Linked DNA regions of Mus musculus. The protein of the gene in region 1 purifies or fractionates together with the protein of each later gene. This does not show direct contact. Links are inferred from orthologs where the notes say so. Each region holds a gene or a part of one and is shown on either strand. Other genes may lie near its edges.

Region 1 (3,968 bases):
CTCTGGAACCCAGGTGAGCTCAATTTGCTAGGAAGAGGCCAATACTTGTATCCCCCATTGGGAAAGGAATCCAGTAAAAAAAGCATACACTGGGGAAATCCTCACAGCCGTGGGCTTCTGCTCATCCCTGGGGCAAGGAAGAACTCGTCTGGAAGCCCTGATTGCCTCTGAATTCTTTGTGGTGTGCCAACATTAAACGTCTCCCTAAGGTGATTCTCTTCCAGCTGACCGTGGAACATAACTCACACCAGCTTGAGTAACTGCGGTGCTATGAGTTTGTACACACCAAGGAAGAACGCCTCGAGGAGACCCGGGACCAAGCAGCACAAAGCAGCGGCCTGTTGACACACATTTCTCTCATGCAGGTCCCACACACATTCCAGATCTTCCACCGTGGACATGCTTGCTCTTGGGATCGGAGTTGGGCTGAGAGAGAGTCCTGAATAAACACCCTAAATTGCAAGGAACCGCTCCGGCAGCTTAAGATACATGAAGGCTGGAGACCTTGCGTCTTAGCCAGGACCGACCACTAGGAATATGCACTTCAGCCCAGTGAACAAGTCCCCCAGAGAGGTGACTGTGGACAACCTCTCCTGCACTGAGGAGCTCTGCAGGCAGTGTGTGCTGGACCCTGAGTTACAAGGATGGAAAATTTCGGTTTCTACAGGTTCAGAGAGAGCAAAGAAAACCTCAAGATGCTGCGGAAACTCAGAAACTTCTTTGTTTGTTTGTTTGTTTCTTTCCTTCTTTCTTTTAGTTTTTCGAGACAGGGTTTCTCTGTGTAGCCTGCCCTGGCTGTCCTGGAACTCACTCTGTAGACCCAGCTGGCCTCGAACTCAGAAATCCGCCTGCCTCTCAAGTGCTGGGATTAAAGGCGTGTGCCACCGCTATCTGGTGGAAACTCCTTTTAAAAGCAGTGATTCTGAGATACATAGCCACATCCTTCAACTGATTCTCCACGTGCCAGCCACACAGTCACACGGGTAAGAGTGCTGCTAGGGAAGAAAGCTGTTAGGGATCTGGGAAAGGGATGAGCACTGGTGACTGGTGAGCACGAGGCCTGGACCAGGTTCTGTCCCCAGCACCAAAGAGGAAACTCCACTTGTAAGACACAAACTGCTCTCCCCATGTCAAAAGCTCTCAGGACAAGGTTCTGTAGTGGGGTGGGATGGTCCTCACGGGGATACTTTAACAAAACCAAGGATGGGTAAATTAACGACAATTAAACACCTGTCACCCTACAGAACCCTGTGGGAAACACATCAGGGGAGGGAACATGTCCAAGGGAACGCTTTTGATCCTTGGAAGCTACTCCTGGTCACGGGAAGTGGGTAAAAGACTTCCGGTTTCGTTTCTGCTGGGGTGGGGGCTAACTATGCCAGCAACATTGCACCAACCTGCCCATACATGCCCAGCCAGCCACCAGGTCGCTCTCCAAGACTTTCTGCACGCCCCTCTCCGCGCCCCTCACTTTGCCCAAGCTGTTCCCTCCTCTGGAATGCGGTCCCTCAACCACTCCTAAGTTGAGCATCATTCCCTCAACGAAGGTAACCCCTTTCCTCCAGGGCCTGGCCTTCCCAAGAGTCTCAGAACCCCTCTCTCACAGCACATGTCCCCATCCGCCCACGGCTGCCTGCAGGGTGCTGCAGACTCTTGTAATGTGATCTCTTAGCACAGGGGAAGACTCACCACTGAGTTTGTTGAATTAATGAGGGAGGAAATCCATTTCAAGAAATTAACGCATTTTGGAAATTGACCATACATACACCCATTCAGCAGCAGTCTGAACTCGCCTAAGTAGGACCCAGCTAATCCGTGAACCAACTAAACTCAAGACCCCAATATCTCCTCAAACCAAAGGAAGAAGGGCAAAGCGGGATAGTGACAGCGCACATCAATTCCTCCCAGAAAAGATAGGAAAACCATTCCCAAAGATTTAAAACTAGATGTGGCGTCACGTGGGAAAGGGGCTGTTAACTCTCAGAACTTGCAAAGTTCGAGTTGGAGATTGGTCTGAGATGAAGGTATTTTTCCCTGCGCGCCTGTAAGGATCACCCAAGCCGGGGCCAAGAGACTCAGGAGTTTGGTATCAAGGCTGAGGTATTGGGGAGAGGGCACAAGAACCCCCTCACAAACCCAGTGCCCACAGAGGCACAGGACAAGCTTTGGGCTCTGCGCTCTGTTCCCCTGCTCGCAAACACAACAGGAGCTGGAGGCGATGTTTTGGCTGAATCCGAGTCCCAGACCGCGCTCCCCTTCCAGCTCAATCCCGGACGAGCGAGCACTGCTAGCGAAGAGAACCGGCGGCCGGCCACCTGGCGCCCCCACCGCGCATCCCGGCGTCCCCGGCGGCGAACGAAGTTGGCTCTGCCTGGAGTATCTGCTCCCGACCGGCTAGCTTACCTGCTTACATGGCCCGGGAGTGCCCCGGGTGCCGCACGTTGACCATCAGGGAGTCTGGGTCCCCACCACTGGCTTCCAGGAGCTGGCAGAGGAGGGGCGCAGGGAGGGTTACGCAGCGGCCGGCGCGCCGGGCGCACCGGGGAGGAGAAAGGGCCAAGAACCTAAGCACCGCCGTCCCACGCGAGGGGACCCGGGCGATCAGAGAGGTGGGGCGCAGAGAGGGACCGCCAGCGGCCACTTGGTACCAGATGCTCCACGAGGACCTGCCCTGTGGACGAGACGGCTGAGCCGAGGAGCGCAGCTAGCTGGCCGGGCCCGCGGCCGAGGCGCTGGGCAGCCGGGAGAAGTTGTGCAGAACTTGAGCCTCCGGAGAGCCCGAGCGCCAGGAAGCGCGAGCGGCCGGGGAGGGCGGAGGAAGGGGCCGGGTGGGAGGGGACGAGCAGGCGCCGCTGGCCGCGCTCCCCCGCCCCGGGCTCTGCTCCGCAGTGCTGGGGGCCAGGAGGCGGGGAGCGCGCGGGGCGCTCGCTGGGCGGGCCAGGAATGCGTCCGGGGAGGGCGCGCGCCAGCCTCGGGGACGCGCGCCCTGCGCTGAAAAGAGGAGCCCGGGCTCCCCCGCTGCGGGCGCACGGTCCCCAGGGACGTCACAGCGCTGGAATCCGAGGAATGCCAGGCTGCGGGAGCTCCTTCGGCCGGCCGGGCAGAAGTCGTGCACTTTTAATGGGCTAGCTTTGGAGCGCGTTTTCCCTACCAAGGTGTGGGACGGTGGACTAAAGGAAAGTGCCCGGAGTGAGATAGACTGGAAGTGGAGAGGGGGCGATGACCCAAATCAACCAAACTGTGTGACGCTTAGGAGGCGGAGGGGAAAGAGGAAAGGAAAAGACCGTCCCTCCAAGATTTCCGTGGGCAGCTAAGGGGTGGGACACTGGAGCTAGAACAGGCCATTTATTTGAGGGAGGTCTCCAAGCAGGATGCCCCCATGCCGCCACCGCCCAGGAGACACGGGACAAAGTAGGGTGGCCTCCTTGAGAAGGCAATCTAGAAGCTCTCCTCAGAATCCTAGGATCTCTGAGTAGTGAGTCTTAGCTCCGGTCCTCCCACCCCGCCCCCACGGCCAACCAGCCTTTGTGTGCTGGAAGTTGGAATATGTGGTTTTCCCGGTTTGTTCCATGCCACGGAGGGGGCCCCACCCCGCCTGGGTAGGCACTGGGAGGGAACTGCGTTAGCACTTTCGGAGGTGGGGTTACTGAGGCGCAGCCAGTGTAATGGAAAAGGCACTCGGCCGGGCAAGGAAACCTGTATTAGGCCCCGCGGAGTTGCTGGCCCAGTGGTTAACTCAGGAAGATCCCAGCCCCCTACCCCTGATCCTTGGGTTTAGTAATTGTGAAGTGAAAGGAGTTGCCTATATTTTTAAGGTGCTTTGCATGTCTTGGCATCTGTTCTCTTCCTGAAATCTTAAGACCAGTCCTTTCAAGGACCCTGAAGTCCTTGTCACCCAAAATATCATTAAATTACTTCACTGTACAGGCAAGGGACACAAAACTTCCAGGCCTTATCCTATCAAAATG
Region 2 (3,500 bases), on another chromosome or scaffold:
AGAGCTGGAGGCACCCGTGGGGTGCCCTGGAGTGAGTAACAGAGAAAGGAAGCAGAGGGCAGCAGGCTGGGAAGGCCAGGCTATGACTGCACGTTGAGCACGTGGGCAGAGCGCTGGTGGTGCCAGTCCCGGAGACGTGTATAGCGTGGGCTCTGTAGCTCCAGGACATACTTTTCCCTGAGGGGCAGAGAAAGAGAGAGAGGAGGAGGAGGAGGAAGTGGAAGGAAGGAGAGATGGAAGGGAGGCAGGGAGGATGGAGGGAAGGAAAGGAGGAAGGGACAGAAGAGAGCTCTGGCAGGGGATGGCCAGGAGCAGCCGAGGGCTGGTGGCTGGAAAGGAAGAAGTGGGAGGTTAGGGAGAGGGGTTAGCGCCCAAGCTTTTACCTTGACTTCTTCATGAATTCCTCATCCGGGTCTTGCACTGAGAGGACAGAGGCAGGCATTGACCAAGAGAAACAAGGGCCACCCCAGCCATGAGTCCTGGCAAAGTCAGGCCCAGGCTGAGGTCAGGAGAGTCTGCCCTGTCCTGGGCCAGCACTTACTGAACTCTGTGCCCGTGAGGTGGGCAAGGATGCGGAAGGAGCGGGACTGGCCTGTCCCCGGCCGCGGCCGCCAGTCTTCGGTATCCTCCATCAGCCGCTGCTTGCTGGCATCGGGGACCGGCTGTCTGAGCAACTGTCTATGGGAAGGGCAGAGCTCAGAACCTCTGGTTCTGTGGGCACCAGGGGCTGCCCCTCCCAGGACGTGATGTGCACGGGTTCTGGTGACAGCAGGGGGTTGGGGGGTAGGAGGGTGAGGCAAAGGGTTTGGCTGGGTAGGTGGGTAAATCAGAGGAGGTCAGGACAGGCAGGACAGGGAGGGGCCACCACCCAGAGTGCCAAAAGGGAGGAAAGTGACAGGAAGAGAGGGCTCACTAACTTGTCAGAGGTCTGCACCTGTGAAGGAAACAGACAGATAGACAGATAAAGGGACAGACACAGGAGAAGAATGACAGGGGGAATCAGAGTGGTGGAGAGGGAGGCGAGGTAGCAACGAGTTTGTGAGACTCAGCTGGCCCACAGCACAGGCTAACCCCAGGCTGCTCAGCAGGGCAGAGCCTGTGGAAGAGCAGTAGCCCCACCCGGCCGCCAGGGGTTGCTGCCACACGGTTAAGGGGCTGGGGTCCGGCACAGACTGAGCGGTAGCAGGCAGCTTGTGTGTGTGCTTGTGAAAGGACCAGACAGTGTGCAGAGGTTGGAGTGGATGGGCAGGGGCTGACATACCCATTCTGCCGCAGGGTGCTGTCAGTAGGTGGGGGTGCCCCGAAGGGCCGGGCCGTCTTGTTGAGGGAGGCGCTTGGTGCAAAAGTGTACCTCGGGGGGTCGGCGGGAGGGGTCAGGGCCTGGGCAGAGACAGAGCCGGGCAGGGTGGGTGGGTGGGTGGGAGTTGAGGCTGAGGTGGGAGCGGAGTCACCACCACCAAGAACAGTGACAGGTCCGGCCCACTCTTACACATCTGGCCAGAGGCTAGGATGAAGGGGTAGTAACTACGACTTCAAGGGGCCCATTGGGAAGTGATGAATTCAACCCGCTCTGGACCAAGGGTGACCAAGGGTGGGTAGGCACACACAGCACAGGCTTGTGGGAAGAAGCAGGCAGACAGATAGGCAGGCAGGCACGTGTGGCGCCCGGACCGTGCGGCAGCTCCTAGCTCCACTCTCATGTTCCCCAGACCCTGCCTGTTCTGGCGTCTGCCCTTAGCCAGAGAGAGGGTCCCAAGGCTGGGCCAGGGGTGGTAGGTTAGCCCAGGCTAAGCCCCTCCCTCTCTCAGCCAGGACATCTCCTGTATAACCTACCTTCTGTGGTTTGCTCTGAACAGGCTGGGCTCTGGAGAAGAAGAGAGACGCAGTCACAGCAGGTAAGAGACCAGAGGCTATCCACACCCCTTCTGCCTGTCAGCACCTGTACCTGCTAAGACCCAGGCTGAGGCGCTCCCCACAGGCGCGGATCTTGTTCTGGGCTTCGATGTGCGTGAGGCTGCCCGCGTTCTCACCGTCAATATTCAGTACCCAGTCTCCCACAGCCACACCGGCCTGTGCAGCTTTGCCTCCGGGCGTGAGCTGTAGAGAAGAATGGTCAGAGGTCCATGGGTGCATAACCAAGCTGCACACTCCCTCACAGTCCAGATGCTGTTGGTAAACAGCCACCTTCAGGTTAGAGCCCACACTCGCAGGCTAGGACCATAGCCTTTGACAGCTATGTTTTCTGAGGCCTCAATAGGCTGTTTTACCCACCAGCCTGCCCTCCCAAGACAGCCACCTACCCGTGTTGCTGAAACTGGGCTACGAATTGATCGGGGTCACCTATATCCTGTTAAATGTCTCCTATCTGAGAACCGCTACTGCCCCCCACCCCCATCAAGGCCAAGTCCTGGCTCCTCTCCCGGGCACTGAATGTCTTCACGAATGTACTCTCACTTTTATTTTTTTAGCTTTGGTGACCAAGGCTTACGGCTTACCAGGAATCAGCCAGTGCCGCTGGCTATCATTCCACCATTTGCCACACAAACCAGAAATTCCCAACTCAAAGCCAAAGGGATTGGGGGCATGGTGGTTCACCACAGGTCTGAAACCACAGGGCCACTCGACCATCTGATACCACACAAAGCATTTACACTTGACAGGTAGTAGGAAAAGCGGGGAGCAGGATGCCCAAGGTCCCAGAAGGCTCCTCAGGTGAGCTAATGCAATGTGTACTGAAGCAGACAGAGAAGATGAGGGCTTCTAGAGATGTCAGGGACAGAGGGACCTCATGCAGACACTGTCAACTCTGGTACAGAATGGGGAGCTGGACCTGACAGCTTTATTTTGTGCCTGAAAGGGAAGTTAGCAGAGGAGAGAGCTGGTGAGTCACAGCCTTCTTTACCTGATAACATACGGTAAGAATAGAATCTCACAGAACACCTAGGCTCGACACCAAATCTTCCAACACCCTTGCAGGAGTCTGGGGATACACCCTGTTCACACTCAGAAAAAAACTGAATTACAGATCACCTGAACTCGGTCTCCAGCTAGCAAGGGGTGCAGCCAGGATTTGGGCCTGACTGGAAGGCTCCACTACAATAGGGCACAAACGAGAGACCAACACACCCAGTAAAGACGCTGGGATAGCCAGATGTATGGCCTACACCCAGCACTGGGGAGGCAGAGGCAGGTGGATTTTTGTGAGTTCAAACCCAGCCTGGTCTGCGTAGTGAATTCCAGAGTGGTCAAGACTACACAGAGAGACCCTGCCTCAAAAAACTAGTAAAATTAATTAATTAGATAAAATCAGGGGAAGCAAAACAAGACTCTGGGGTGCCAGGCATGGTATACGTGTGATGCTAACACTCAGGCAGGCTAGGCAGAAGGACTGGCAGCTCAAGGCAAGATGCCCCCTCATTCCGTGGCTGTTTGGGGTCTGTATGTCCCCTCTCACCTTTGTTTCACTCCAAAGAGCCCCTAATAATGGGGACGGGGAAGTG
Region 3 (3,500 bases), on another chromosome or scaffold:
TGGACAGCAAATATTTCCTGGATGGCCACAGTAAGACTTTTGTCTGATGAATGCTATCTCCCAGGGAGATTCTGACCTACGATGTAAAGAGATTACTATGTGGATATGTGACAAATACAGTGAAGTAAACGCAAAGACAGTACTCCTAGGAGAGCGAGACCTTTAAGATATCCTAGTCTCCACCTTTAGATATAGATGCTAAATGACTCATCCTATCATAGGGGTGGAATCGTTACCTCAACTTGGCTCTGGTAATTATGCTTTTTGCTTCTTCAAATGATACACCAATCATAGATTCCTTGTTTATTGAGACAAGTTGATCTCCTGGCTTCAAACGTCCATCCTAAAAACAAAAGCCAAACAGAAAATTACAAATAATAATAATAATAATAATAATAAAGTAGATTTTAATAAAATTAACATAATAAAAGCAGCTAATCTTGTGAATAATGTCATAAACAGAGTAAAAAGATTAGAAAATCCAAATGTTTTTTCAAATAAAGCAGAATGTTTTATTAATACCTGGTTAAGAATTATACATAAGCAAAATTGTGTGGTTTATACACGATAATGAATTGCCCTACCATAGGAAACTGGCCTGTATACAAAAAGGCACTTGTTTTCAAAGCTCAGCTCTATGAGTCTGATAAGATTCTGACTTGGATAAAGCAAGCCAAGCCCTCACTGCATATTGAATATTTCAGAATAGGAGACTCATCCATCCTAGTGAAGGGGCATTCTGCCTCTCTCCACCTACCAAACTGATTAATGGAGATATAAAGACACATGTATAGGCATGCATGCATGCACATACATACACATACATGCATGCACAATCACACACACACATACATGCACACACATGCAGACTCATACAAACATGCACGCTGACTTTTTAAAACCAAAGTTAAGAAACCAGTTGCACTGGTTTTATCCCAATCTTCCTTAGTAATCAGGTACCCTCTTTACTAGACTCGTCAACCCTGCCTGTGGCCGAGCCATGAGGCTGTGCACACGGCATCATATGTCACGAGCATGCCATGCTGATAATCACCTATTTTAACTGGCTGTCTTTGTTAAGCCCTGGCCTGGTGCATAACTCTCCCAAATACATAGACACAGCATAATCAATAATAAGATTGAATGTGGGGGCTGGTGAGATGGCTCAGTGGGTAAGAGCACCTGACTGCTCTTCCGAAGATCAAATCCCAGCAACCACATGGTGGCTCACAACCATCTGTAACGAGATCTGACGCCCTCTTCTGGTGTGTCTGAAGACAGCTACAGTGTACTTACATATAATAAATAAATCTTAAAAAAAAAAAAGATTGAATGTGGTTGTTGGGCCAGTATCTCAGTCACTTCTTTTTTCTCTTAATTCAACTGAAAACAAAAGTTCTTTTTTCCTTTTTCTTTTTTTTTTTTACATATTAAGTACCAAGACAGAAACTATTATTGCCAATCCTACAAAAAAAGCAAAGGATTTTATTTTGAGTGTCCTTCAAGGTTTGTGTACTAGGAGGTTGGTACCCCACTTGGCATACTTGGAAGCAGTTGAGATTTTTAGAGGTGGGGTGAGTGGTGGAACCAGAAATACTGGGGGCACACCTAAAAGAAGGAAGCCTGCCTTTTCTCTTTTGCTTCCTGGATGTTAGGGGAACATTGTCACTTTGTCACATCCCGCTAGAATATGATGCCTTAGGCCAAAAGAAATGGGCCAGTCAAGCAAGGACTGAAACACATAAAAGTGTGAATCTAAACAGACCATCTGTTGACTAACTCAGGGTTCTGATGTAGAGAGAAGGCTGACTAATATAACATAAGGTTAAAAAGCTTTCTTTTTTACTTTGATCATATTGAAATAATCTCTACAAATTTAGGAAAATTGACTTAAAATTGAATCTGAGTCAGTAGAGTGTTCAGCAACAATGGGACTTCTCTACCACTCTCCTCCTGTATGGCTCAGGCACATTGCTAATGTTGGATCCAGAGTCCAGGGAGAACTGCAATAGAGCAGTGTCTATTGAACATGGCAGGGCCACGGCACTTACGCATTTACAGTGGCTATGGCTGTCAGCACAAGATCTGGAAATGATCAAGCCAGTCGACATCCCAGCACGAGCCCCCCACCCTTAACTGAAGAGCACCTGGCTATTGAGGGCCTCTGGGGAGTGAGAGTCAGTTTTGTTTAAGTATGTGGCCCCAGGGTAGGTTGACCAAGGTCCGATGGCTGGCTCCACACCCATGAGTATATGGGCAGCACAAATTGGGCTCCATGTGTTATTAACAAAGGCAAGGGGCAAGAATTTGGCAATGAGGGAGTGAGGGGGGTCTAGATGTTTGAGAGAGGAGCAGGGGTGTATATGACTCCTAAATAGTATTTGAACCTCAAACAGTAAAAACATTACAATTAAGCTCATGGAGATCCATTGTGTTTCATGAAAAAACAACCATATCAAGACCATGCCCAGATACTTGGTATACAATCCACAATATGCTAGATTTCAGTTTTAAAATACCTCTTCTGTGAAAGCTACAGAAAAATAAGTAAAAATCTAGAGAGAGTGTGTTCAGGGAGCGCAGCTATGCTAGTTAAAATTAACTGTTAACCTGACACAACCCAGAAACACCTAACAAAATCTTAATTGAACAATTATCTGTATCAGGTTTGTTTGTAGGCATATCTGTGAGGAATTGTGTTGGTCCTTACTGTAGACCCAGTCCACTGTAGGAAGTGCTATATCCTTATAAGGTTTCCTGTGCTGCATAAGAGGGCCAATCAATGACCCAGAAAGTGGGTCAGCAAGCAGACCTACTCAGTTATTCTTGCCTCTAGATTCCTGCCCTGACTTCCATCAGTGATAGACTGTCATCTGGTACTGTAAGCAAAACAGAGCCTTTCTTCCCCTCTTTGATTTTGGTCACAGTCTATTATCAGTACAATGGAGTGTAATAAGTGGAAGAAGACAGAAAGTTTCAAGAGTGCTGGAAGTTCTCATTTATTCAGTCATTCTGGACAGCTCTGTGTTCTTTCAGTTACATTTCACGAGTTAGATGTATTCTAATATCCTTCCATACATGTTAAGCACACTACAAAAAAGAAAGCAATTTCTACATTCCTCAACATAAAGACAAAGCTACCACAGTGAACCCAGTAAGTTCAGTCCTACCCTGGGATCTATGGAATCGATTCTAGAATCTATACTCTAAAACTAGTATTGGAAGTAAGTCTCAAACCCAAAATTACTAGTATTACTCTAAAAATAAATAAATAATGTCATTGTTAATATTAACTCTAAAAAATTTAGACTATGAAAAATAATTATTAGTAACAGTTTATGAATTCTTGAATTGCTTTTTTTTTTGTTGTTGTTCTGGGAAATAACATCGAATTTTGAGAAGAGTCACACTGAAATCCATACATTAATTTTGGCATTATAGCTAGCTATTCATGATCTTAATTCTTCCAATTCAAGAGAATGAAAGGTCTTTTCATCATT
Region 4 (3,500 bases), on another chromosome or scaffold:
CCTTTCTGGATGAAGACACCAGAAGGACAGGGCTGGTAAGGAGCTCAGACAGCCGAGTGCAGAAAGAGGACTGCAGTCATAGTCCCCTGGGAGGAAGGACACTTCAGAGTCTGAAGAAGACCTGCAGCCCAGGTGCCCTCGGCGGAGAAGCTTGATGACGACATGAAGGGCAGAAACTGCTGCCCTACTAAGTTTCTGTGGCTTTTTAGGGTTCCTCTATCGTCCCTCTAGTGACTCCAGCAAGAAGTTTATGTAGAGGAAGAGGACCCTCTTCTGTCCTCTGCAGGCTATGCATGCATGTGGTACACAAACCTACACAGAGACAAAACAGCCATCCACATAAAACAGTGAAAATGAATACGGTAGAAAATGATCTCCAAGGATACCAGACATCAACATCAACCTCTGGCCTACATACCACACACACAGACACTCACCCCCCCCCCCCCTCACTCACTCACATGAGCCCAAAGCCCAGCCTGGTAGCTGAGAGCAGCCTACAGGAGCTGACACAGGAGCTGCTGAGCAAGATCACGGCCTGGAGAACGGGAGAAAAGCCCTGTGCATTAAGAAATCTGATATGTAGGATATATATATATATATATATATATATTGGCAGTGTTTGGGGCTTCCTCCAGACCATCATGTCTTCTGACTCAGTTCTTCTTTGCATTAATTTTTCTTCCTGATTGAATAGATTTGTCTAAGAGATTTCAAAAAGTAGCTGTTCTTTAAAATGCAATTGTGAAAGAATTGATCACAACAGTGTTACAGAAAATGGCAAAAATTACTTTTTTTTTGTTTTTTTCGAGACAGGGTTAAGAATTACTTTTTAATTGTAAGATATAATAGAAGTTGTGTTGTAGACAATCAAAGGAATAGGTACCTATAAATAAGATGAAATTGGGTAGGTTTTATTTTTTTTCTCCAAACCTAATTGTGTATAGCCCGACCTTGCAGGGCTGTGAGCTAGTGTGATTGTTCTGTGGCCTGTAGAGCACTGTCCCATGCCTTAGTCCCTTTGATCCCTTTACCTTTTGTCAGGTACACGCAGGAGGGAAGGCGAGCCCCTCTAGCCAGCAGCTTGCCAGAGGGTCCTGGGCTCACAAGCTGGGTATCCCAGAGCAGGATCAAGGCACTGCCTTCCTTGGATGAAGTCTCAAGTCCCCGCTGATTCAACTTGTGCATTTTCTTTCGATGCCTGACCTCTTTTGAAATGAGTTTGTTTCGAGATAAAATTGTACAGTGCTCTACCTGTACGGTAATGTGCTCCAAGAGATAAGACAGGATTGGGCCCAGAGCGCCCTGTGGAACGGCCTCTGTCAGCTAAAAGTCCCAGGAACTGAGCACTGTAGGCGCTATTTTATAGCAGCACTCAATGAATTCAGTACCTAAGGTGGCCTTTTGCATTTCCAAATTGCTGCCCAATGGTTTCTAGGTGACAAGTCAGCCTGCAGTCCCGTAAGATCCTGCAGTCTTTGCTGGGCTTTTGCTGGGCTTGGTGCCGCTGCTGTAACCCCTTTGCCATTTCTCCAAGACTGAGTTTTCCAAGCTCTGGGACTGGACGTAACCCCCAGTTAGTTTATTTATCATGGCTGTAACCTTGTTTGGTTCCTTCTCTCTTGGTTATTCTGTTTTCTCTTTACCAAGGTCAAACAGACATCCCCTTTGTCTTAGTCAGAATTTATATTCCTGGACAAAGCATCATGACCAAGAAGCAAGTTGGGGAGGAAAGGGTTTATTCGGCTTACACTTCCATACTGCTGTTCATCACCAAGGAAGTTAGGACTGGAACTCAAGCAGGTCAGGAAGCAGGAGCTGATGCAGAGGCCATGGGGAGATGTTCTTTACTGGCTTGCCTCCCCTGGCTTGCTCAGCCTGCTCTCTTATAGAACCCAAGACTACCAGCCCAAAGATGGCACCACCCACAAGGGGCCTTTCCCCCTTGATCACTAATTGAGAAAATGCCTTACAGCTGGATCTCAATGGGGCATTTCCCCAGCTGAAGCTCCTTTCTCTGTGATAACTCCAGCTGTGTCAAGTGACACACAAAACCAGCCAGTGCTCCCTTCTTACACGTGATTCTGGGATAATCAGGTTTTCTGTTGTTAATTTGGGTTTTTACACTTTCATTTGAAAATTAATGTCTTCTGTTGTTTCTCTTTTTTTCCCCTAGATTGAAATTGGAAGAGAAAAGAAAAGAGCTGCTACAGAAACTTGAAGAAACTACTAAGTTAACTACTTCCTTGTACTCGCAACTTCAAAGGTAAGCTAGCTATGTTCTTCAAGGGAACTGTTTCCCACAGCGTCCAGGCACGGCCTGGTCCTCTTTAGTTGGTTTTTAGCTGCTTAAAAGTGAACAAGTCAGTTACCCTCACTCAATTAATGTCTGAAGTACCAAATGCAGAAGTACATTTTCCCCTCCAAAATCCTTGTTTATATTTAGGATGCATTTTGAAATACCCCACAGAAAGAGGGTTGACTTTATCTGTCACTCAAGACTTGAGAAAATACCTTATCACAGCCGTTATCCCACCTGTTACCGACGAGCTGGAAGGTCCCTGTGAAATCGCTGATGTGACTTTCTGGCACGGCTTAGCATGTCACCCTGGCATTCCTGGTGAGCTGGGGCTCGGTGGCCTTCATAGGAAGCCTTTCTCCTTAGCGACAGAAGCTGCCCTGTATGAAGTATGAAGTGGCTGTGGATGACTCTGCAAGGCATTTGATTTTTTTTTTAAATTTAAATTTTGCAAAAGGTGCATCATTGGTAGTGGGAACGATAATCTTACTGTGAAGCCTTGGCTCGGCCTGAACTGGATATGTAGACCAGGCTGAACTTGACCTCAGAGGTCCACCTGGTTCTGAATCCTGAGTGTTGGGATTAAAGGTGTACACCGCTTTACCCGCTTGGATCATTAAATTTTTAAAAGACTAGTTAATGTATGTATGTATTTTTGAGACAGAGACTCTCTGTGTAGCTATCCTAGAGCTGGCTATGTGGACTAGGCTATCCTTGAACTCAGATATCTGTCTGCCTCTGAAGTTCTAGGATTAAAGGCGTGCGCCACCACTCCTGGTAGCTGTGATTGATGAGGTGTATGTGGAGAGCCAGGTTGGTGACAGTAGTGAGTGGGTAGGGAAGTCTGTGTTCCAGTAGAGACGTCCTCTGCCTGGGCTGTGGGAGCCACCGGGGCCTGTAGCTGTGTTTGTTGTGGAACGCAGAGTTTACAGTGTGTTGTTCTCCTGTTTCCAGCCTCTCCTCCAGCACACTGTCCATGTCATCTGGGAGCAGTCTAGGGTCCCTGGCCTCCAGTCGGGGCTCTCTGAACACCTCCAGCAGGGGGTCACTCAACTCCCTCAGTTCCAGTGAACTCTATTACAGCAGCCAGGGCGACCAGATGGACACAGACTATCAGTATAAACTGGACTTCCTTCTTCAAGAGAAGGGTGGCTACATTCCTTCCGGACCCATCACCACCATCCACGAAAATGAGGTGGTC
Region 5 (4,132 bases), on another chromosome or scaffold:
GACCAGCTGCTTCAAGCTCCGGTCACTAGGTATGAGCCAGCGTAAACTCCATTTCCCTTAAGTTGTTTTGGACCAGTCATTTATCACAGCAAGAGGAATAGGTTGAAGAAAAGTAAAATTGTCATGTACATTTTTGAGAGATTTTTGTGCACCATAGGCATATGCCCCTAACTTATATGTAAAATTAGGGGCTAGTAACTAATGGACCAGAGTGGAAAAGAATGAACGTTTGTTCATTCAAGTGGTATTTACTGAGTCCTACAAATACTCATGGAGCCTTAGTGTTCTTCTTGGTAGACTACTTTTTTCTCTTCTTCAAAAGTTGCAGCAACAACGGAGTGAATCAGAAAGGTGGTTTAATGTTAACAAGATATTTAGAACAGAAATGTTACAAGGTGATTAGGCTGAGAACTTGTTACCTATGGAGTAGTGAAGTTAAAGGTGTCACAGGCAACAAGAAGCCAGGATTCGTGAACTTTTCTGACAAGAGAACTAGTCGGCTCTGGGGTGGGTTTAAATTAATTTGTGAGGTCTAGCTGAGGTGTTTGGCTAAATGTACTATTTATTCTGGAAGAACTTTTGTTCTTTCTCTGAAGTAGAATGGCGGGCCATATGGTGAGTAATGTGGTCATTACACTGCAGTGTGACCTTTCTCGCAATGTAAATTACCAACAGCTCTTTTCTAAACCAGTTGACTCATTGTGTCAAAGAGTCAAGAGACAGCTACCTTTCAGAATTACTGTGTCCATTAACTGTACGAAAAGGGATATATGCACTTGCTCAATCAGTAGTAGCTTTGTCCCTGGGCCACTGTGGTGCCAAGAGAAAGGAACAATTTCATTACCAACACAATGGTCTCGTGTGACTACCATTACTAATGGACCCTAAATCAAATATTAAAGCGAGGTCAAGGGGTTTTCCTTCGCAGCCTACTTTGGCTGCGAAAGCACGGACGTGCCTGGAGGGTCTTCCCTGAGGTTATGCAGGAAGCTCTGCAGCTGACTGAACAGACCAGGTAGCTGCTGTTCACAAGTCACCACCGGCTTCCCGGCGGCTGCCCCGCCCCCTTTCCGGCTCTGGCTCCACCTCCTCTCCCTTATTGGTTGGCGTGCCTCTCCGCCTGACCGCCTGGAAGACCCGGAGGAGCGGAGTGGCCCCTAGGCGGGCTGGGCGCGCGCTCGCTGCGCATGCTCGAGGGCAGCTGGATTCCCGGTCTGGACCAGAGGCTCAGAGCGGCCCCGGCGGGGAGGCGCGCCCGTGCGCGGCAGCGGCAGCGGAGTCGCGAGCACGCTGCGCGCTCCCGAGGAAGGGAGGTGTAGGCCGGGGTGGGTGGGGGGAGGGCCGGGTGTCGGCGCGCTTGGCGTGCGGGATCCGAGTGGCTGCGGGCGGCCTGAGCTGCCCGGCCGACGCCTGCTGCGAGATGGCGATCTTGGGCGCGGAGGGCTGAGGAGGCGCCGCCGCGGTGGCTGCGGGCCCCGGGAGCCGCAGCTTTGCGCGGGTAAGTACAGCGGGGCTCTGGAGGGCGGCCGGGCCGGAGTTCGCCGGGGTGGGGTCGCCGGGCTTGCCCCGAGCTGGCCCTGGCACCGGCCTGTGCGGGTGACACCGGAGCCCGGCGAAGTGGCTCGGTGACTGCAGTGCTCAGCCTCCTGACCGGCGGCTTGCTGGCGTCCCAGCTTCCCCGCCTCAGAACTGCTGCCCTGACTTTCACCCGGATCCCACCGGCGCGAGCCGGGACGCCAGCCTCAGAACGTCCTTTTCTGACACGTTTTTAGCATTCAGCTTTTTTTTTTTTTTCACTGACTCCGCACCTCCTCTCACCAACAATCTTAATCTCCACCTTTGGTGACCTGGTAGGTTCAAGTGACCTTGCAAAATTTTCTAATCCTCATCTCGTGATTTGGGTCCTTTTCCTTTAAATCTTCTTTTAAAATGTAGTATTGTTAGGATTTGGTACTTTGCCCGTCGCCTTTAGCCTTTACAGTCCTTAAATGATCAGTTTGTGGCTTAGGGCTGTATGGCTTTCTACTCATCGGTTTGGAGTTGTAAGTTCTTTTGCTCTAAGCGATTCCTCTTCATTATTACCAAAAAGAAGGTGTATCTATTATGCTTTTGAAATATTTTACTCGTCCACCATAAAATATTTCACAAATGTCTGTGTTTTCCCTGTTAATGTTTCATCTTTTTGTGTGCATAAAATTGAATTCCTCCCCCTAAAATGCCGCTACTTAGAGTTATGGAAAAAAATGCCAGAGTTACCTTCCCACTCCCCATTTGGTGTTTTTTTTACCCCTGATGAAATACCCTGTTCACAGTTGTCTGTAGGTTTCTGTAAGAGTTTTTGCTTATGTATAAATCCACTTAACATGTCTCACCAAGTCTGTATGTAACTGCTAGTAAAACTCTCCTTTTAAAAAAGACATTCTTTCATTTATCTAACTTCCTTGAGCCATAAAACTATGTGCTTAAGCTGACTGAAAATTACCATTTTTTAAATAACTAGTTAACATTTTAAATTCAAAGATAATGTCCAAGTGTTGGAGCTGTTGAAATTGAGATGCTTGAGAAATGTGACTTAGCTCTTTGAGACATAGATTATTAACATTTCCAAATAATTCTTCACGTAAAATGTAGAGCTGCTTTTAAGACACTGTACTTTTGAAACCCAGGGCATGGCTGATCAGGTCTCTTGCCTTCAAAGAGATGGTAATCTCTTGAGTTGGCTGAAATTTCTGTTACATCCTTGCACAATTATTAAGCATCAACTGCATGACAGTGAGGTATTTGGAGGTATATGTAGATCAAATGGTTAGCAGCTTCTGTCTTTGCAGGCTATGGAGGAGGTATGTGTGTTGGGTTATATACCGATGCTCCTTTTATGTCCCTGTGAATAAATGGCAGGATCTCACTACAAAGCCCAGTCTGGCCTTGAACTTGCCATCTTCCTGCCTCTGAGGTCATAGGTCTATGCCACCATGCCCAGAATACCTTTGTGTGCGTGTGTGTATGTTTCATAAATATATAAAATTGTCTCAAGTCGAGTTCAGAGAGGGTACTTCTTACATGAGTTAAGGGGTTTTGTATTTTGAGGACTCTGGACTGAAGGGTGGCATGAAGGATGACAAGAAGTCAACAAGGAACTGTAGTTCATGTAGAGGACTCTAAGAGGGTTTGGATGGAGTCTGCAGGATTTCGGATATAGGGTAAGAAAATTTGAAATAAAAACCAAGACCAGTAACAAGGTGGTTTTTCTTTCTTTAGTTTTGTTTTGGAACAGGTCTTGCTACGTAGATGTGACTGTTCTGGAACTTGCTTGCCCTGTGGATCAGGTTAGCCTTGAACTCAGAGATCTACCTATCTCCCTCTGCCTTCCCAGCCTTAGAATTAAAGGGTTCGCTACCACTCTTGGCCCAAGAGTTATTATTAAATTGAGATGAATTTCAGGTTACTAGACAGTGTGGGGCCCACAGGAGATTGTTGAGTTTAAGAAACAATTTTACACCTTGGCTTAGAAAAATTAATCTAGTGGCATTGTGTAGTATGAATTGAGGTAGGAGGAACCTGGAAATTCATAAATTACCCCAGGATTTCCATCATTACAGATAGCAGGGGTCTGACCAAGTGGAAAGGACAGGAAAGCAGGATAGAATTTGGCAATCAAGTTAAAGTTAAAATAATTGCCAAGATGACTCAGTGGGTAAAGGTGTTTGCTGCCAATCCTGGTGACCTACACTTGATCATAAAACCCCCTTGGTAGAAAAGTAATCTACTCTCCAAAGTTGTTGTCCTCTGACCCTTATACTTGCACAGTGACACAAACACATCCTCTTCCCTTCACAAATTTTTTTTTTTTAGAAGTCGGGGTCTTACTGTGTTGCTGTGGCTGCTTTGGAACTCACTGTGTACACCAGGCTGGCCTCGAACTCACAGAGATCCACCTGCCTCTGCCTTCTGAGTGCTGGGATTAAGGCGTGCATCACTATGCCCAGCTGAAATAATTGTTTTTTTTAAAGTTAAAATAATGATTCTGACCCATGTCCATCGGGAAAGTGATGGTAGCATAGAAGTGTTATCTTTAGCAGGCCTGTATGATGTTCATAGGCTTTGGGGAATTACTAACTAAAGAAACTAAAGA
Region 6 (3,315 bases), on another chromosome or scaffold:
CCATTTGGGGAGTTTTTATATGGTTTCCAGGGCATCAGCATCTAGGCACAATATGATTGGCGGAACAGGGCACCCTTTAAACTGATTGGTCTTTAGGGAATGAGGTGACAAGGACTTCCCTTGTCTGAAGGTGGGCAATGGTCAGTCCTGCAGAATGTGTCCCCACCTGCAGGTCGGTTCCACCCTGTTGTCTGAGAAATGTTAATTAGTCTCGCCCTTCAGCAAGGGCAAGTGTTTCATTACCTTCCCAAAGTTCCTGAGCTGACCTTTTCAAGGGCACTGGCTGTTCTTCTAGAGGTTCTTGGGTTCAATTCCCAGCAACCACATGGCGGCTCACAACCATCTGTAATGGGATCTGATGCACTCTTCTGGCACACAGGTATACATGCAGATAGAGTACTCATATACATAAAACTGAACGCATTTCTTTTTTAAATAAAAATTTAAAAACAAAAATCAAAAGTGAAACAAACAAAATTGAGTCATTTTCTTGGTCTGTAAAATCAAAGCTACTGTAAAATCTCCCCTCCCAAGTGCCTGAGGAGCAGGTAAGAAACACACTTCACTAGGCGTGTCCTGTCACAGTTCCTTCAGGCACAGGAAGGGCTTCTATTCCCTGCCTCAATCCTCAGTGGTCATCGGTGGATGATGTGAATATAACCCTACACAATGCCTTCTACACAATGCCGACTCTATGGTACAGACTCTGCATTGCTAACAGCGCCTCCTGCAGGCCAGAGGACTCTCTCCCACCTCACACTCTTGCTTGCCTTACCTCCCAGGTGGATCGTGGGGAGCACAAGAGTGAGTTGCAAGCCGACAAGATGATGAGAGCTGCTGCCAAGGATGTGCACAGGCTTCGAGGCCAGAGCTGTAAGGAGCCCCCAGAAGTGCAGTCTTTCAGGTGAGTGGATAATCCCAGTCTCATGCCTTCCGCTACCCCACCAGCTGCCTGGCCTTTATCGTCTTTGCTGGCCTCGTGTTCCCTGCTCCTGGGCACTGAATGCCCCTGTTGCTAGCAGAGCTGTAGCCTACATGGGAACAGATGTTCATCCTCTGCCAGGCTCCCATAATGCTGTGAGTACTGTGGTGCTCTGGGACCAGTCCCCACACAGCTCAGCCCAGTTTGTGAGATCCTCTTGTTTAATGAATGAACCACCTGCCTTATCCTTTCCTCTCAGCCTTTTCGGTACCTGGTAATTGCAGGGGCCTGGCTGGTGATAAAGAGGGGAGTGGCGTGCAATGGATGCTCACCTAATTTCCTGCCTCGGCTTGCTAGCCTGCCTAATAGAATCACAGCTGGGTGCTTGCCTTGCTGGACCTACACGTGTCAGAGGAGGGTCACAGATGTCATTTGGTGTGGGCCTTCCAACACAAAGGGATTTAGATTCATCCTCCATCCACTATAGTGTGAGTTCAAGGCCAACCTGTGTTCCATGAGACCCTGCCTCAAACACACACAAAAAACAAAAATAAACCAATGTTCATATACATACACACACACACATATATGCATATGTATATGTATGTGTTTCCTGTATTGATCATGCTAATGGGTCAAGCATGATTTTGTCTCCTATGTCACTCGCTGCAAAGATATTTGACTGTGTGTGTGTGTGTGTGTGTGTGTGTGTGTGTGTGTTGTTAAAGATGGGACTATGTGGATAGGAACTCAAAATCTCGGACCCAAGCTATGTTTGTCTTGAGCCTCTCAAGTTGCTGGGACTAGAGGCATGTATCACCATGTTCAGGGTTCATAGATTTCAGATTTCACAGCCAGAGTTCAGGCATGCTAACAGCATTTAATAGTGGCCAGAGCTATCACTAAGTATCCTACAGTATATAGTAGAGGTGTCTCTCAGTGGCAGACTGTGTGATTGGGATACATGATGCCCTGACCCTGAGCAGGGCTTTATCCTGTCCATACCTATGTGTTCAGTGAGGTTGAAACACCTGTTTTCCATCACAGGGAGAAAATGGCATTTTTCACCCGGCCTCGGATGAACATCCCAGCTCTCTCTGCAGATGACGTCTAACCACCAGAAAAGTATTTCCTTTGTCTCGTGCGCGCGCGTGCAGACCAAGCTGTGAAGGCTGACTGTGACTAATGTTATTTATGAGGCATTATATGAAGGTACTGAGTCACAAGTCCCCGAGCGCTCTTGTTGGTTTGAAGACAGATTTTTTTTTTAAATTTCAGGTTTTCTTGTTATTATTTAAAAAAAAAAATGACAAAGCAACCATAACAACAAAAACAAAAACCAAACAAACAAAAAAACCAGCATTAAAATGACAAGATTGTATAGTTTGTATATTTAGGAATGTATTTTTGGGAAAGAATTTAAATGAACTAAAGCAGCATTAAGTGGCTGCTAGTCTTAAAACTGTCTAGAGTTTTCTTTTTGTACAGCAACAACTTTCAGAGGTTTCCCTGCAATAATAAAAAAAAAAAAAGTTGTATTTGAGGGGCGACAATCCTCAAAGGAGGTCCCGCGGGTGGCACAGCACAGCTAGCCTGCCCTGGTTAACGTTATTTTGTACAATAATACAAAGACAAGGATGTACAGTAATCGTGGGGGAATTCGAAGACTGTCCGCGGATCTTTGTGAGCTGTGATGTGTCTTTCATGTGGCCACGTGACCGTGACCGGAAGCAGGTAGCCTGGAGCTGGCTGAACCGCCCGGACTGGTGACAGGCCACGCCCAGGCCACGCCCATCTCAGATGCCCAGTGACGCAGCTGTGGGAGTGAGGGGAGGGCTGCGGAGAACCGCATTTGGATCTATCTCTAACAATAAAGTGGCCTTTTAAGAAAGAGCTTCTTGTCATTTGTCCCTTTCACATCTTCACTTTTATTATGTCCCTGATTTCACTCAGCTCCAAATCCTGGGGGGGGAAATTTTGTTTTCCTTTTTCTTTTATTTTTCGAGTTATACTTATTTGTCCGTTAGATAAAAGTGACTGCTCAGCTCTTTGGGAACCTAAGGTCTGGTGGTGTATGTCTGTGTTTCCAGAACCTGCAAGGTGGACGCAGGAGTTTGAGACCTTCTCAGCAGTATGAAAACCTGTCCTTAAAAACTGAGCCTGGAGAGATGGCTCAGGAGTTAAAGGCACTGGCTGCTCTTCCTGGAGAACAGTATTTGATTCCAAGCACCCATATCGTGGCTCACAGCTATATGTAATTCCAGTTTCCGGGATCTGAGACCCTTTCTGGTCTCTGTGCATACCAAGTATGCATATGGTGCACAGACAGACATGCACCCACAATGCACATAAATAAATGACTAATGGGACATTGAGAGATGTGTCAGCAGTTA

What was found.
Region 2: the proteins of Ptpn14 (region 1) and Pdlim7 purify together in Homo sapiens (affinity purification with mass spectrometry; 3 studies listed by BioGRID and IntAct, counting the BioPlex papers as one, with this or other methods). This does not show direct contact. The link is inferred for Mus musculus from reciprocal best matches to the Homo sapiens genes PTPN14 and PDLIM7.
Region 3: the proteins of Ptpn14 (region 1) and Stxbp4 purify together in Homo sapiens (affinity purification with mass spectrometry; 3 studies listed by BioGRID and IntAct, counting the BioPlex papers as one, with this or other methods). This does not show direct contact. The link is inferred for Mus musculus from reciprocal best matches to the Homo sapiens genes PTPN14 and STXBP4.
Region 4: the proteins of Ptpn14 (region 1) and Wwc2 purify together in Homo sapiens (affinity purification with mass spectrometry, with the first as the bait; 3 studies listed by BioGRID). This does not show direct contact. The link is inferred for Mus musculus from reciprocal best matches to the Homo sapiens genes PTPN14 and WWC2.
Region 5: the proteins of Ptpn14 (region 1) and Wwp1 purify together in Homo sapiens (affinity purification with mass spectrometry; 3 studies listed by BioGRID). This does not show direct contact. The link is inferred for Mus musculus from reciprocal best matches to the Homo sapiens genes PTPN14 and WWP1.
Region 6: the proteins of Ptpn14 (region 1) and Wwc1 purify together in Homo sapiens (affinity purification with mass spectrometry; 7 studies listed by BioGRID and IntAct, counting the BioPlex papers as one, with this or other methods). This does not show direct contact. The link is inferred for Mus musculus from reciprocal best matches to the Homo sapiens genes PTPN14 and WWC1.

The regions. Positions count from the first base shown.
Region 1 is NC_000067.6:189,727,100-189,731,067, reverse strand, and holds the start of Ptpn14 (tyrosine-protein phosphatase non-receptor type 14), read right to left. Parts: upstream 2,801-3,968; 5' UTR 2,404-2,800; intron 1-2,403. UniProt on the Homo sapiens protein: Protein tyrosine phosphatase which may play a role in the regulation of lymphangiogenesis, cell-cell adhesion, cell-matrix adhesion, cell migration, cell growth and also regulates TGF-beta gene expression, thereby modulating epithelial-mesenchymal transition.
Region 2 is NC_000079.6:55,506,947-55,510,446, forward strand, and holds part of Pdlim7 (PDZ and LIM domain protein 7), read right to left. Parts: intron 2,098-3,500; coding exon 1,946-2,097; intron 1,865-1,945; coding exon 1,834-1,864; intron 1,381-1,833; coding exon 1,262-1,380; intron 935-1,261; coding exon of another isoform or gene 918-934; intron 747-917; exon of another isoform or gene 679-746; coding exon 542-678; intron 421-541; coding exon 384-420; intron 178-383; coding exon of another isoform or gene 1-177. UniProt on the Homo sapiens protein: May function as a scaffold on which the coordinated assembly of proteins can occur. May play a role as an adapter that, via its PDZ domain, localizes LIM-binding proteins to actin filaments of both skeletal muscle and nonmuscle tissues.
Region 3 is NC_000077.6:90,607,109-90,610,608, forward strand, and holds part of Stxbp4 (syntaxin-binding protein 4), read right to left. Parts: intron 344-3,500; coding exon 237-343; intron 77-236; coding exon 1-76. UniProt on the Homo sapiens protein: Plays a role in the translocation of transport vesicles from the cytoplasm to the plasma membrane. Inhibits the translocation of SLC2A4 from intracellular vesicles to the plasma membrane by STX4A binding and preventing the interaction between STX4A and VAMP2.
Region 4 is NC_000074.6:47,868,545-47,872,044, reverse strand, and holds part of Wwc2 (protein WWC2), read left to right. Parts: intron 1-2,176; coding exon 2,177-2,266; intron 2,267-3,253; coding exon 3,254-3,500. UniProt on the Homo sapiens protein: Regulator of the Hippo signaling pathway, also known as the Salvador-Warts-Hippo (SWH) pathway.
Region 5 is NC_000070.6:19,706,205-19,710,336, reverse strand, and holds the start of Wwp1 (NEDD4-like E3 ubiquitin-protein ligase WWP1), read left to right. Parts: upstream 1-1,332; 5' UTR 1,333-1,498; intron 1,499-4,132. UniProt on the Homo sapiens protein: E3 ubiquitin-protein ligase which accepts ubiquitin from an E2 ubiquitin-conjugating enzyme in the form of a thioester and then directly transfers the ubiquitin to targeted substrates.
Region 6 is NC_000077.6:35,837,899-35,841,213, reverse strand, and holds the end of Wwc1 (protein KIBRA), read left to right. Parts: intron 1-782; coding exon 783-904; intron 905-1,969; coding exon 1,970-2,036; 3' UTR 2,037-2,815; downstream 2,816-3,315. UniProt on the Homo sapiens protein: Regulator of the Hippo signaling pathway, also known as the Salvador-Warts-Hippo (SWH) pathway.